Danio rerio: one gene and its partners. Each later gene encodes a partner of the first gene's protein in a complex. Links are inferred from orthologs where the notes say so. Each region holds a gene or a part of one and is shown on either strand. Other genes may lie near its edges.

Region 1 (4,388 bases):
AGCTGAATCTAATCTAATCTATTTTGTAACTAATTATTTGTGTTATAATTAACACCAAGAAGCAGTTTGAGCAGAAATTAAATTGTATTCAATGTTACACTGCACTTAAAAAGTCAGCTACATTGTGGATAACCTAAAATGGGGAGAACTTTAACAACATATTTGTATTTTGGGTACTTGTTCATGCTTAATGTCTTCATGGGTCACATAAATCTAAAAACCCATGGTCTGAACGAAGAACCCAGATGGGTTTTGTGCCTTGGACACAGGTTAGGTTAGTAAGTTAGTAGCCTCAGGTCTCGGTTAATTTAACATTTAGTGTGCTTTTGAAAATGCACCCAATAAGAAGGCCCATGCGGAAACTGCGCGTGCAAAAATCCATCAAGCCTATTTATTTACTTCTGTAAATGTGTGTAAATTTATATTCATTCAGTTTTTAAATTAATTTCAGTAATATTATTGACTAATATGAAAATTTTTATATGATTTTTAACTATTTAATTTGTAAAGTAATAATTGTCTTTTAGTAGATCAGTTATCAGAGTTGCTTTGCTTACCAAATAAGTGGATCTAATTACATTTGCACTGTAAACGTTAAATAAAAGTTAAAATGGTAATATTTAAAGTTTTATTTTTAAGTTTTAATATTAAGTTTTTAGTTACGATACTACCAAAATTATTTCACATAAATCTGCTAATTTTTCATTACAAAATGCTGCGTAGAAATAGCAAACAATGTCTGAACATTCTCGCTGGTACTACCAAAAAGACATGAAAACTTATAGGATGTGATCATCATAACTGAGTGATAAGTAAATGAGCTTTAAGAATTTCAGCAATCAGCATGTACTTGACCAATTAGACTACTGGTATTAAATTTTTAAGAAACTTATAAAAAAATGGAAGAAGCATTTGAAACCTCAAACAAAGAAATATATCCTCATTGAAAAAAGATAAAAACCAGGAAACGCCATTTGCTTTATTATGCAGTGTGTTAAAACAATGTGTTTGTGTGTGTGTGTGTGCGTGCGTGTGTGTGTGTGTGTGTGTGTGTGTGTGTAGAAGCCACTGGTCACAGTTAAAAGCTGGGCCCAGGAATAACTGGTTTTCTGGAGTCAAAACTATTCAGTTACAGAAATTGAATAATAAAATCAAAATAACATTGTATAGTCTTTATTGTATAAATAATTCAGTTAAAGTATTATTCTTTAAAGTCACAAATTAACTTTTTGTGCCAAAACGTTTTAAACTCTTATGACATTGCCTTAAGAAACACATTCAAATTATAAACTTTCACTCTGTTATGCTTATACTTTGCAAAGACTCCACAAATCTCATTTATTCTCAACTGTTGTGCTGATCAACTATAATAACAACTCAACATTGCAGATCCTGCGATGTGACTATTGCAGACACACACATAGAGATATAAACGCTGAAACAATATATTGTGCAGCCCTACTTCAATGCAGTTTACTTTTGGGTTAAAAATAAATGCCATTGGGTCAGACTCAGGTCTAATTTGATTGACTTTGTCTTGGGTCAAGATTTCCTTCTTTCATTTCTGTAGATTGGGTTCAGTGAGTAGTGATTTGGGAACAGATTTTAGGCTCTAAACTACAATTACATCTCACCCGTTTATCAGGCTTCAGCCAGGCATATGTGTCTTTTACTGTGTATCGAAGACCAAAAAACCACGTTTCCCTCAGGCCAATGGTCCGGCATACCAGGTCAAATAAATCTTTCCCTTTCCATTTGACCTAGAAGTTATAGACAAACATTAAACTTTGTAGGACATTTTAGGACACAGAATCAGACAGACACATGTATTAAGTATTTCCATACGTTTACCTCACAACTAAACTCCATTTCAGCATCCATAGTGCTGACTTTGACTTTAAAAGTCTTTGGTTGCTTCTTTTTCAGACCCAAAATTGACATAGTGACTTTATATACACCTGAAAACACAAATAATTACTTTAATACCTCAATATAGTAAAGTATATTTAGCATTTAACAAAATGAAGCTAACATTCATTTACTTAAATATATATCTAAAAACTAAAACAAAGTGCATCAATACATACATAAAAAGATAATTTAGACATTTTAAAAAGTCTATCAGAGCTTTAATTAGAAAATTACTTCAACTTATTCCTTCCCTTATTATGCATCATTATTATCATCATTTATCTAACGTACTAGTGCTACTATCACAAGGCAGATGAATGAAGTCAGCCACAGGTAAGTCGCATTCACGAGTACTTTACGCAAAGTGCTGTAACTTAACAACTGTAACAATGCCCACTCTCCTTAAAATAAACACATTGTTAGTTTTCAACCTTTATAAGTAAGATATAACACAATCTGCCTTGTTATATCGAGCGAGAATGTAGAAAGCGACTCACAAAGCTTAACGTTAACGTTACATCCTGGCTAACGTGACAGAAAGTAAGCTGGCAAATTTACTCCCTTTACAGCGACACAGTATACGTTTAAACGATAAGTATAATCCATTCTGAACACTGTTAAAAATATGTGAATGAAACTAGCCAAATATCAGTCAGTTACCTTGATTAGGTTATGTGTTAAACCAGGCCCGATCCACAGCAAGGAGTTTCCAGGCACTCCGCTAAACCACAACAATGCAAACCGGATTTCGTCGGTCACCTACATGGAAATGGTTGTAAGCTTGTCCGAAACTGTAGAAATCGTTTAAAGAGTGTCCATTTTGGTAATAAACTATTAACTGGACGATTGTGGAATATAAATACGATGTTATCTTGAGTAGAAAATGTTGGATAGGGAGTTAGCAGGACTTTGTTGTTGGTTTTCTTTGCCGCCCTCTTCCTGCTGGATGGAGAAGAGCAGTTGAGGAATGTTCATGACGGTGTGTATACAGTGATTTATGTCACTCTTTCTATGCTCAATAAGATCAATTAACGTCATTTATTATGTAAGTGTTAAATGTTTTATTTTGTTTAATTTATTATATTGGTTTGTTTTGTAATATCATGCTGTTTTATATCAAGTATTGTACAGTCAACTACACAACACAATTACTGCTAATTTAGCCCTCTGAAGTTGTTGTGATTTAGTTTATTTTATTGGTCTATTATGTAATATCATTCTGTTGCAAGTATTGTATGTACAGACCATTTTGAAGGATGTAAACAAAAACAATGTGCCCTTTGCATTTCCTGTTTTGCATTTTTAATTTCTATAGCTTCGGAGAATCCAAAAAGAGCCACATATGAATAAATAATGTTATGATAGCTGTTTTAATATTAAGTTATGATTGAATTGCCTCTTTACATTTCTGATATAATTTGATAACAAGCAGGAACTGTTCACGGGCCAATGATATGACCACATTGAAATGATCTATAACAGTTACTATTTTAGCCCTTTGATATTATTAGAGTGGTTTGTAAAATGAGTGTAAAATTGTAAAAAGTTTTTATTTTAGTGAAATGACTGTACTGTATTTTGTATTATCTGTAAAAAAAAATCTGTAAATCTGTATTTTGTTTTATATTTTGTACCAATAAGGGAGTTTATGCTTTTTTTAATAATAAATTTCCAACTTTTAAACAGCAACTTCCAAAATATTTATTTATTTATTTATTTATTATATTTTCAGATAAGACACTTGGTAAATTATTGCTTAGTTATAAAAAGTTTTATTTAGTTTTAGAGTAAATCATGATTTATTTACACACACACACACACACACACACACACACATAGCCAAAATAAAGCAAATAAGACTTTCTCCAGAAGAAAAAATATCAAACATACTGTGAAAATTTCCTTGCTCTGTTAACTTCATTTGGAAAATATAAAAAATCAAAGGAGGGCTAATAATTCTGACTTCAACTGTATGTATGAATATATAATTTACTCTAATGCTAAATAAAACTACTTTTTTTTTAAATACTCTTTTAAAATATTTTGGTTGAGTGCAGTGCCAATTTATTCCACTCGATGAAATGTCATGTACTGCATAGCAATGGTCTCAAACTCAATTCCTGGAGGGCCGCAGCTCTGCATAGTCCCAACCACCTCCAACTCACACCTGCTTAGTTTCTAGTAGTCTTGAACACCTTGGTTAGTAGGATCAGCGGTGTTTGATTAGGGTTGGAGCAAAACTGTGCAGAGACCATTGCTGTATAGTATCTGCACATAACTACATATTATAATAAAATGTCTGTAAAATGCTTCTAAAATTATCTGTAAGATATTGTCCTATAGATAGACCATTTCAATATGACAATACCATTAGTCCATAAACAGTTCCTGCTTGTCCTAAAACTTTTTCATAACTGAAACAAGAGGTGTCATAACGTTAACACAGCTGTCATTAAAATTGTATTAACATGTGAAGC
Region 2 (3,618 bases), on another chromosome or scaffold:
CTTATTAGTACAACCAACAAATCCATCTAAAAAATGTTTAACAAAGTTAAAATTAACTATTTAGCAATATGGTTTAATTGTCTTCATTACATCCTTACGATTTGTTTACAAGTTCTCCGTGTTTTCATGCTTTAATGCACACATTTATAAATGTTGTTTATTATAGCTTTAAAACTGAGGCATTTTGATTGTCTTTAATTTAATATTTTTGATATTTCTCACTGCTATAATATTTTTTGTTCATGCTACATTGCATTTGTGAAAAGTATTTTGTTTTGCTTTGATTTTCAGAAGACTTGTAGATTAGTATCTCAATGTGAGTCTCAGATAAATAAATGACACCAAAAAATACTGTTTTTATATATAGATTATTCTAGATTAAAATAATCTAGAAGTTAAAGGTGTAGTTACCCTCTAAATAAATATTAATCTTGATTTAGAGAATTCTGAAAATTTATTGAACATTAGAAAACAAAATTACATTTAAAAAAAATAAATTTATTTTGTGCATAAATTTTGTTTATTCTAGCTTTTAAAACTTGTCTTTTTTAAAAGAATTGTTGTACTAATAAAAATATATAGAGAGTTTGACAAATTATTTAAATAAATAACTGAATTTTAATTTTAATTGGGCAAGTAAAAAAATTCCACTGATTATAACAGAAAAGTATTAGTGTTTTGCCCAGTGATAGTCTGAAATTTCATTGATAATGGTCTTAAAAAGGTCTTTAAAAGTCTTAAATTTGATGTGATGAAACCTGCAAAAACCCTGTTTTTACTCAGACATTTAAAAAGAGTATATATTAGAGCAGAAATCACAATACTGTGACATCGTGATGTTTTTATCCAAGGTTATCATACCATCAGATTCTTACACCGGCCCATGCCTATAACTGACTGCCAGATTTGAACACGTCATGCAGTTTAAAATAAAGATTTTTACTATTAAGGGAAAACCAAAATACTATTCTACAGAGCCCTGAGTGAAACTTTGTAACCCTCAATCAAGCGTTTTGATCACCTGCTATGAGTCTGTCACAGTGCTAAGGAGGAACCACCTTTCTAAGGTCACGCATCTCAATTTGATTCAGGTCAGGACTTTGACCAGACCACTCCAAAACCATTCAAACACTTTTCACTCCGGGCTAAGTAGTTTTCCCTTAATAATAAAAACCTCCATTTCGAAATGCCATGATGTGTTCAAATCAGAGTACAAATCTATACGGGGGCTTCATTGGGATTTACTTGCGCATTCGTTGATTTTGTTTGTTTATCTGTGTTTAATTAAGATTGGAGTTGAACTCATCAGGAGAACTCACCTTCATCTGCGTCTCCAGAGGAGTTGTGGCCAGAAACGGAGGCTGACCGACGACCATCTCATAGAGGATAACGCCAACACTCCACCAATCACACAGCTGCGTGTAGCCTAGGATTCAAAACAATTTATCAAGCAAAACAAACCATGTTCTAAAGTAATACAACTTTTTCTAATTCTTTCTCTACCCTAAATCATAACAGGAGATAGTGTGAAAAATGTCCTTGCTCTGCTAGACATCTCTTGGGAAATATTTGAAAAAGGGTCTAAATTTCACAGGAGGGCGAATAACTGAGTGTTCGGCTGTAATGTGCGGCTCATACCGGTGCGCAGCAGAACCTCGGGTGCGATGTAATTGGGCGTTCCCACTAGAGAGTGTGCCAGGCAGCGCTGGTGTTGTCTAGCCGCTCTGCGCTCCAGGGGCTTCAGGCGATCCCCGCAGCGGCAGTTTGCGGAATCTTCCCACTCCATACTGAAGTCCATGCTGTCCTGACGCACATGATCACCTGACGACACACACACACCGCAAGTCAACATCCAGACCTGTTTTTTACACCCGAGCTCTTATTTACAAACCGGGGTGGAAATGTGCATACAACACGCAAAGGTTGTGATCTATAAAAATAAAATGACAGGAGAATGTGCACAGCTGTAAATAAACACTAAGTAAATATGTTTACCTTAAATATTGACATGAATGATTTTAAATGATCATATGAGGTATAATCATTAATAACTAAATGTACAATTTATTCTGGTGTATTTTGCTTGTTGACACCACATATGTAAATTTAACTCCTCCTAAAATTAAAAATGCAAGTGAGTGTGCACGTGTTCTGGGCTATATGACCGCATAAGCAGCAATAACAGAAAGCACACAGATGACAGTCTGAGAAGTTTGTTTACTTTCTTTTTAAACATTTTTTCATTCATTCATTTTCAGCTTAGTCCCTTTATTAAACTGGGGGTCGCCACAGCGGAATGAACCGCCAACTTATCCAGCATTTGTTTTACGCAGTGGATGCCCTTCTAGCTGCAACCCATAACTGGGAAACATTTTTTTATTTAGTTTTAAATGATTAAATGAATATCATAGGGAAGCATTATTAATAGAGATGCAGCACACACCTGTAGCTGATCTCTGTCGACAGACATGAACAAAAACAGAAATATAGATCATTCCTTTACAATTATACGGCTGTCTGAAATACTGGGTTCTGATTGGTCAGTCGCAAAATTCCATGGTATGTTGTCGCCACTGGCTTGCTTGGTTTGGGACTTGTGGAGCTGCGCATGGATGGATTTGCTCTTCAGTGTTTAGGCTTTCAGCAGTGAACATTAAACCACACTGAACTGAACTCTGATAACTGGACTGACACAGCTTCAGTTTACGAGAACATCTGTGTTCAGCTGCTTTGACACAATCTACATTGTAAAAGCGCGAGAGAAATCAAGATATTTGTAGTGAATTAACATTGCTACCAAGTTTCTAGCATGAATTAGCATGTTTGTAGTAGTGTTGTCAAAAGTATCAAGTTCGGTACCAAACGGTACTGAAATTTTAAAAATGTTTAAGGGTCACGAAACACCAAAACACATGTGTTGAGCTGTTGACAGTGGTATATGTGTCCCACACTGCTAAAAACACTATTAGGACACCTATATTTCACTAAAAAGTGTAAATTGGTTGTTTTGCGTTATTTCAAGCAAATTCGTATTTCCGGTTTGAAACGAATTTTTGAAGCTGCGTCACGGTCATGACATAATAGCGTGTATTCCAGCGTGCAGACTGGACGTCTGTGCCAGAGTGAGTCTTATTACGTCTTACAGTGTGCTGCATTAATGCATGAGTAAAGCTTGGTTCAAACCAATCAGCGCGCTCTATTGTGCAACTTCATTAATATTCATTACTGTCACAGTGTTTAGACGACAGAGACGCCACGTTGTGTTGGCAAAACAAGCGTGAAGTGTTGCTTTTATAGTTTGCTGCAGTGAAGTTTTGTTTTCATTTTCTCTCTGTGAGAGCGCAGCTGGAGTCACGTGTGGATTAACAGTGTATGCGACGCTCGACAACAATAACTTACGTGTCTAAGGAGGATTATTGTTTACCTGAGAGCTGTTCTCATCTGCAAACGCTGAGATCCAGATTCGCTGCTCGTCTCCTCTTAATAAAGGCGCGGCTCTAGTTGCTGGTGATTGTCCTGTCTCTACAGATTTGGTAAGTGAGCGACCAGTGCTCTTTGTTTATTCAGTTTGTTTGTATCGAACTAACTATTGCACCGAGTGTAAACATGTTAACACTA
Region 3 (4,376 bases), on another chromosome or scaffold:
AAAAACACTCCTAACATAAATTAAATAATAAAATAGGAAATGTTTCTTAAACACTAAAATAGCATACTAGAATTTTTCTTAAATGATTTCTTAAAGATGACGAGACAACAACAAAAAAAACACTTGATAATCAGGAATAAATCATTTAATATATGTATATATGTCATATTACTGAAGGTTTACTTTATTTCATAAACATAAAATAAGATTTTATCTTTAAACAGTATCTGTGAAAAGCCGTTTTCTTGCTGAAAACATTCTTTTTATGGGAAAAGCTAAAACACAGATCAAGGTTTTATAACTTTGACTTTAAGCTCTTTGATATTCATTTATATTAATTTTCCTTCGCTTAATCCCTTAATTCATCAGGGATCGCCACATCGGAATGAAAAGCCTACTTTTCCTGCATATGTTTTACACAGCAGATGCCCTTCCAGCTGCAACCCAGTAATGGGAAACACCCATATACACTTATTCACAATCATACAGTACGGCCAATTTAGTTTATTCAATTCACCTATAGTGCATGTATTTGAAACAAGAAACACAAGAAACCCACGCAAACACTGGGAGAACATGCAAACTCCACACACAAATGTCAACTGACCCAGCCGGGACCTAAACCAGTGACTCTTTTGCTGTGAGGCGACAGTGCTAACCACTGAGCCATTGAAGCTCTTCAATATTACATTCAAATGTAAGCTTCAATAGAAAATACCTTGAATGTAAAACCGGAGGCATCATGAAATGTTTAGTCATGTCTTCACTTTATGCTTGATATAATCAAAGATTTTTACACAGTTTTTTACATTTATCAATTCAATTTGCAAGTACAACCCAAGGTGCAGAGCATTCATTCAAACACTTATAGAAGATCAGAGACAATCTCGAGAAATTCATCCTTAAGAAAACAAAAATTAAATAAGTTCATATTCATTTCCATACAAACTGCCTAACGGATCATTTTCTGTACATTATTTATTAACAAATGGCAGTGAGTGTATGCATGGCATGCATTCCACCATAGAATAAAAGTAATATAAACTATTGTTATTAGTGATAATAACTGCAAATGTATATCTTGCACAAAGAAATTAAAAAAAGTCATTTGTAACATAAAATATAAACTCAGAACTGAAGATAAATGTAGTATGGAAAAGTATTTTAAAAAACATGCACTGCTAATTTTCTACTTCTATGAATTCCACTGAAATTTATCGATATTCAAAACAAACTTTAAAGACCTTTTATGCTCAACATATCGTCTTCTTAGTGTTAGAAGGTTCACTCTGGCATTTTTTGTCAAAATTGAGTTATTGACATATTCTTATTAAATGACAACTTATTTACATTATGGGATGTTTTTTATAAGTTGTTTACATTTTAAGACATTTTATTTAAAAAACAAATGTTACACACATACTGTTTGCTATTGAATGCAAAAACTTTGAAGCTCAATATCTCAAAATCATTCAGAAGCAGATAGAACCTTAAAATTCCAAAGTGACGATGTACTGATTTTTATTTAGAGCTGCATTAACTTTCAAATAATTAAAATGTTAAATTGTAAATTGTGTTTAATTATTACTTATAGAAAGAGCAAGCCAAACAATCCTCCACATATCATTTATTGCAATAGTCTTTCATTTATTATATGCTGGCACTGAAAATAATGCAAGTTATGCTGGCAATGGCACTGGCAAATAAAGAGTTAAATAAAAAACATTTTTTTGAATATTTTTCATATTGCTGATATTTGTCACAATATCTTCCCAGCAAAGTAGAAAGTAGGAATCCACATTTCAAGAGCACAGTATCATAATGACATGAATATTCTGGCTCCCCTCTACATTAACTTATAATCACTACTCTGTAATCATCACAAGCCCAAAAATTCAGACAACACACAAAAACAACAGGATTAAATATGAAAACAGTTCCCAACACATGTCATCATCATCATCATCATCACACATGTCCAACATGAAAATAGGGGGATCATTTCGTGGGTGGAGTGAATTACACAGTTTCAAAACAATAAACGTGTAATGCGATCGCCCCGCTGTAGTACATCATCATCTAAACTTACAGTACGGCTAAAAAACATCTGATTTGGGGAAAACATCTGACGGCGCGAGACACATAAACAAAACCCTGTGGGAAGCAGAGCTGGTTTTGTTACGCACGAGTAAAAATACAACTTTACGTTAACTTACCTGCAGCTCGTGGCAGCGTCTACTTCATCACCAAAAACAAACCTCTAAATGAATGTAGACATACGTTGTATTATAAACGCTAGTTACACATTTGTTACCTTGACATTTTGTTTAACATATAACAAAGCCACATATTACGCCACACAAAGGTGTTTTTAACATACATAATCGCTTATTATCCTCTTTAAAGGAGCAAACATGGGGTATTCAAAATGCTTCTATAAGCACAAAGTACCGTTAATACGGTTTACAGTCGCGGGGCCTAGAGGACGGTCCCAGCGCTTCAGAGGGACTGGAGCGAGAGGAACGCAGATCCGCTGGAGCAAATCCGCATTCCAGCGCAGGGAGAATGTGCTGTTCACTCCTATCCCACTTTAAATGAGAAACACGGCCTATTTACTCAACTTACACGGCATTTACGAGCGCAAATCAAATGCAGAATCCCCTGAAACCAACTAATGCCCAGCTTTTTGAAAAGTTTATAAAGTTTTGAGCGACTCACCATGTGAAATAAGCGGTGCCTTAATCCAAGGAACTGATTTAAACTTCAGTAAAGTTGCGGACTATCTGTCTAAAGATTTGTTGGCCTTTCTTCGTCCTCTCATAAAAAGCACGGAGTAAAAATCATGGGATTGTCCTCCATTTTCTCGCCACTCACGGCGGAATTAGAATGCAGTACAAAGTTGGACACTTACTGCATTGTTAACATTCCAGAGGAGTCACGTGAGGCGGCCATGCACGTCAGCGCTGCACATACCCTGGGCGGGGCTTCCGACATTTACAACGCTGAGATTCTGATCTGATGCACACAAGCAGATATGTGCAATGGCAGGAGAATATTTCACTATTCCCCTACTTTGCTGGTCTATTTTAAGTTGCTCGCATAGGTATTACCGTTATAGCCAAATAATTAATGTTATAACTAAATAGTGAATGAAATAACTAATTAGTGAACTAAATAGTTCCCAGATCCTTCTTGGGCTTCTCACTCAACTGATTGCTGCATTGCTTTCTTCAATCAATCACTGGTTTGTTTCAAGTCCTCAAAGAAATGAAATATTACATATAATTAAGAGACCAAAGACCTTAGATTGTAAAACAGGAGATTTGTAGTTGACACATGCCATTTCATGTTGTAAATGAATAAAATAACACTTTCATCTGTTCTTATTTACCTTGTAAAATGTATTTTGAACCGGTATCACTTTATTTCGATGGTCTCTTTAATGCAGTTTGTTGAATTGAAGTTACATTGCATATACATGCCAACTAATTCTCAACAGATTATGTAGACTGATAGGTTGGGGTTAGGGTAGGTTGACATACTTGAAAATTTCTTATAGTCAGTGAAATGTCTGTTAAAGGAACTGTATCGGCACATATTAGACACTCTACTAATACACAAATGAAAAGTAGGGTTGTAAGGTTTATCGGTACTATGGTAGTATCGTGATACTATGTCTTCATAATACTGGCAGTGCCACTGTAGTTTGTTAGTATTGTCATTAACAGTCTGTCTACAATATATAATGTTGCATGTGGAAAAGTCACTAAAATGCTCAAGTTTCGGCAACAATAGACCATTGTATTTTAATAGTCTATGGAGCCTTCTAAGGTTGCAAAACTGTGTAGAAGTCACACTTTTTAAGGTAGCCTATTGCATATTTTTCTGATGCTTCAGTTTGAATCTAAATTCATTAATTTCTGCTCCTGTCAATACAGTTTAAAGGGCCATGAAACCCCCTCGTTTCAGCAGGGTGTTTTCACACCTCTACTTTGGAAAAAGTCAGAAAAGTGGGCGTGTCCAGCTCTGTTTAGGGGGGAGTGTCGGAGGAACTAAAGTGGGATGGGGGAGTGTCGGAGGAACTAAAGTGGGATGGTGTGGGAGTGTCTATTTGGGCACGCGCGAGTTTCAGTCAAAATACACACACATGAGAAAGTGATGGTGTTTAACCTACATAGACATCTGTAGTCGAATTATTTGACAAATTATTAAATGTTGGACTTTAACTGCAGTTTGGCTCTTTCATTCAGGGAATTCATTCATGCCCCTCGCGACAAACGTGATATTTGATTCGAGGATCTGCTCTAAGCGTGTATTTTTCATGCAATGTTTGATACCGCACGGCGAATGAGAGAAAAAAAAACTCTGCATTTCCC

Evidence for each region.
Region 2: the proteins of nf2b (region 1) and lats1 are in contact, whole or in part, in a crystal structure (PDB 7LWH), measured with the Homo sapiens proteins. The link is inferred for Danio rerio from reciprocal best matches to the Homo sapiens genes NF2 and LATS1. Residues at the interface, in NP_000259.1 of Homo sapiens: Pro135, Glu136, Ala137, Val139, Leu140, Tyr144, Asn175, Leu176, Tyr177, Gln178, Met179, Met183, Trp184, Arg187, Trp191, Glu206, Ile210, Asp213, Leu214, Glu215; in NP_004681.1 of Homo sapiens: Pro69, Lys70, Phe71, Gly72, His74, Ala77, Leu78, Glu80, Ile81, Arg82, Ser84, Leu85, Phe88, Ala89, Asn90.
Region 3: the proteins of nf2b (region 1) and lats2 are in contact, whole or in part, in a crystal structure (PDB 4ZRI), measured with the Homo sapiens proteins. The link is inferred for Danio rerio from reciprocal best matches to the Homo sapiens genes NF2 and LATS2. Residues at the interface, in NP_000259.1 of Homo sapiens: Pro135, Glu136, Ala137, Val139, Leu140, Tyr144, Asn175, Leu176, Tyr177, Gln178, Met179, Trp184, Arg187, Trp191, Glu206, Lys209, Ile210; in NP_055387.2 of Homo sapiens: Tyr73, Ala76, Leu77, Glu79, Ile80, Arg81, Ser83, Leu84, Leu85, Phe87, Ala88, Asn89.

Annotation. Positions count from the first base shown.
Region 1 is NC_133196.1:27,247,460-27,251,847, reverse strand, and holds the start of nf2b (NF2, moesin-ezrin-radixin like (MERLIN) tumor suppressor b), read right to left. Parts: upstream 2,804-4,388; 5' UTR 2,572-2,803; exon of another isoform or gene 2,192-2,571; intron 1,959-2,191; 5' UTR 1,942-1,958; coding exon 1,852-1,941; intron 1,761-1,851; coding exon 1,635-1,760; intron 1-1,634. UniProt on the Homo sapiens protein: Probable regulator of the Hippo/SWH (Sav/Wts/Hpo) signaling pathway, a signaling pathway that plays a pivotal role in tumor suppression by restricting proliferation and promoting apoptosis.
Region 2 is NC_133195.1:1,290,105-1,293,722, forward strand, and holds part of lats1 (serine/threonine-protein kinase LATS1), read right to left. Parts: intron 1,822-3,618; coding exon 1,639-1,821; intron 1,427-1,638; coding exon 1,320-1,426; intron 1-1,319. UniProt on the Homo sapiens protein: Negative regulator of YAP1 in the Hippo signaling pathway that plays a pivotal role in organ size control and tumor suppression by restricting proliferation and promoting apoptosis.
Region 3 is NC_133184.1:22,891,815-22,896,190, reverse strand, and holds the start of lats2 (serine/threonine-protein kinase LATS2), read right to left. Parts: upstream 2,887-4,376; 5' UTR 2,719-2,886; intron 1-2,718. UniProt on the Homo sapiens protein: Negative regulator of YAP1 in the Hippo signaling pathway that plays a pivotal role in organ size control and tumor suppression by restricting proliferation and promoting apoptosis.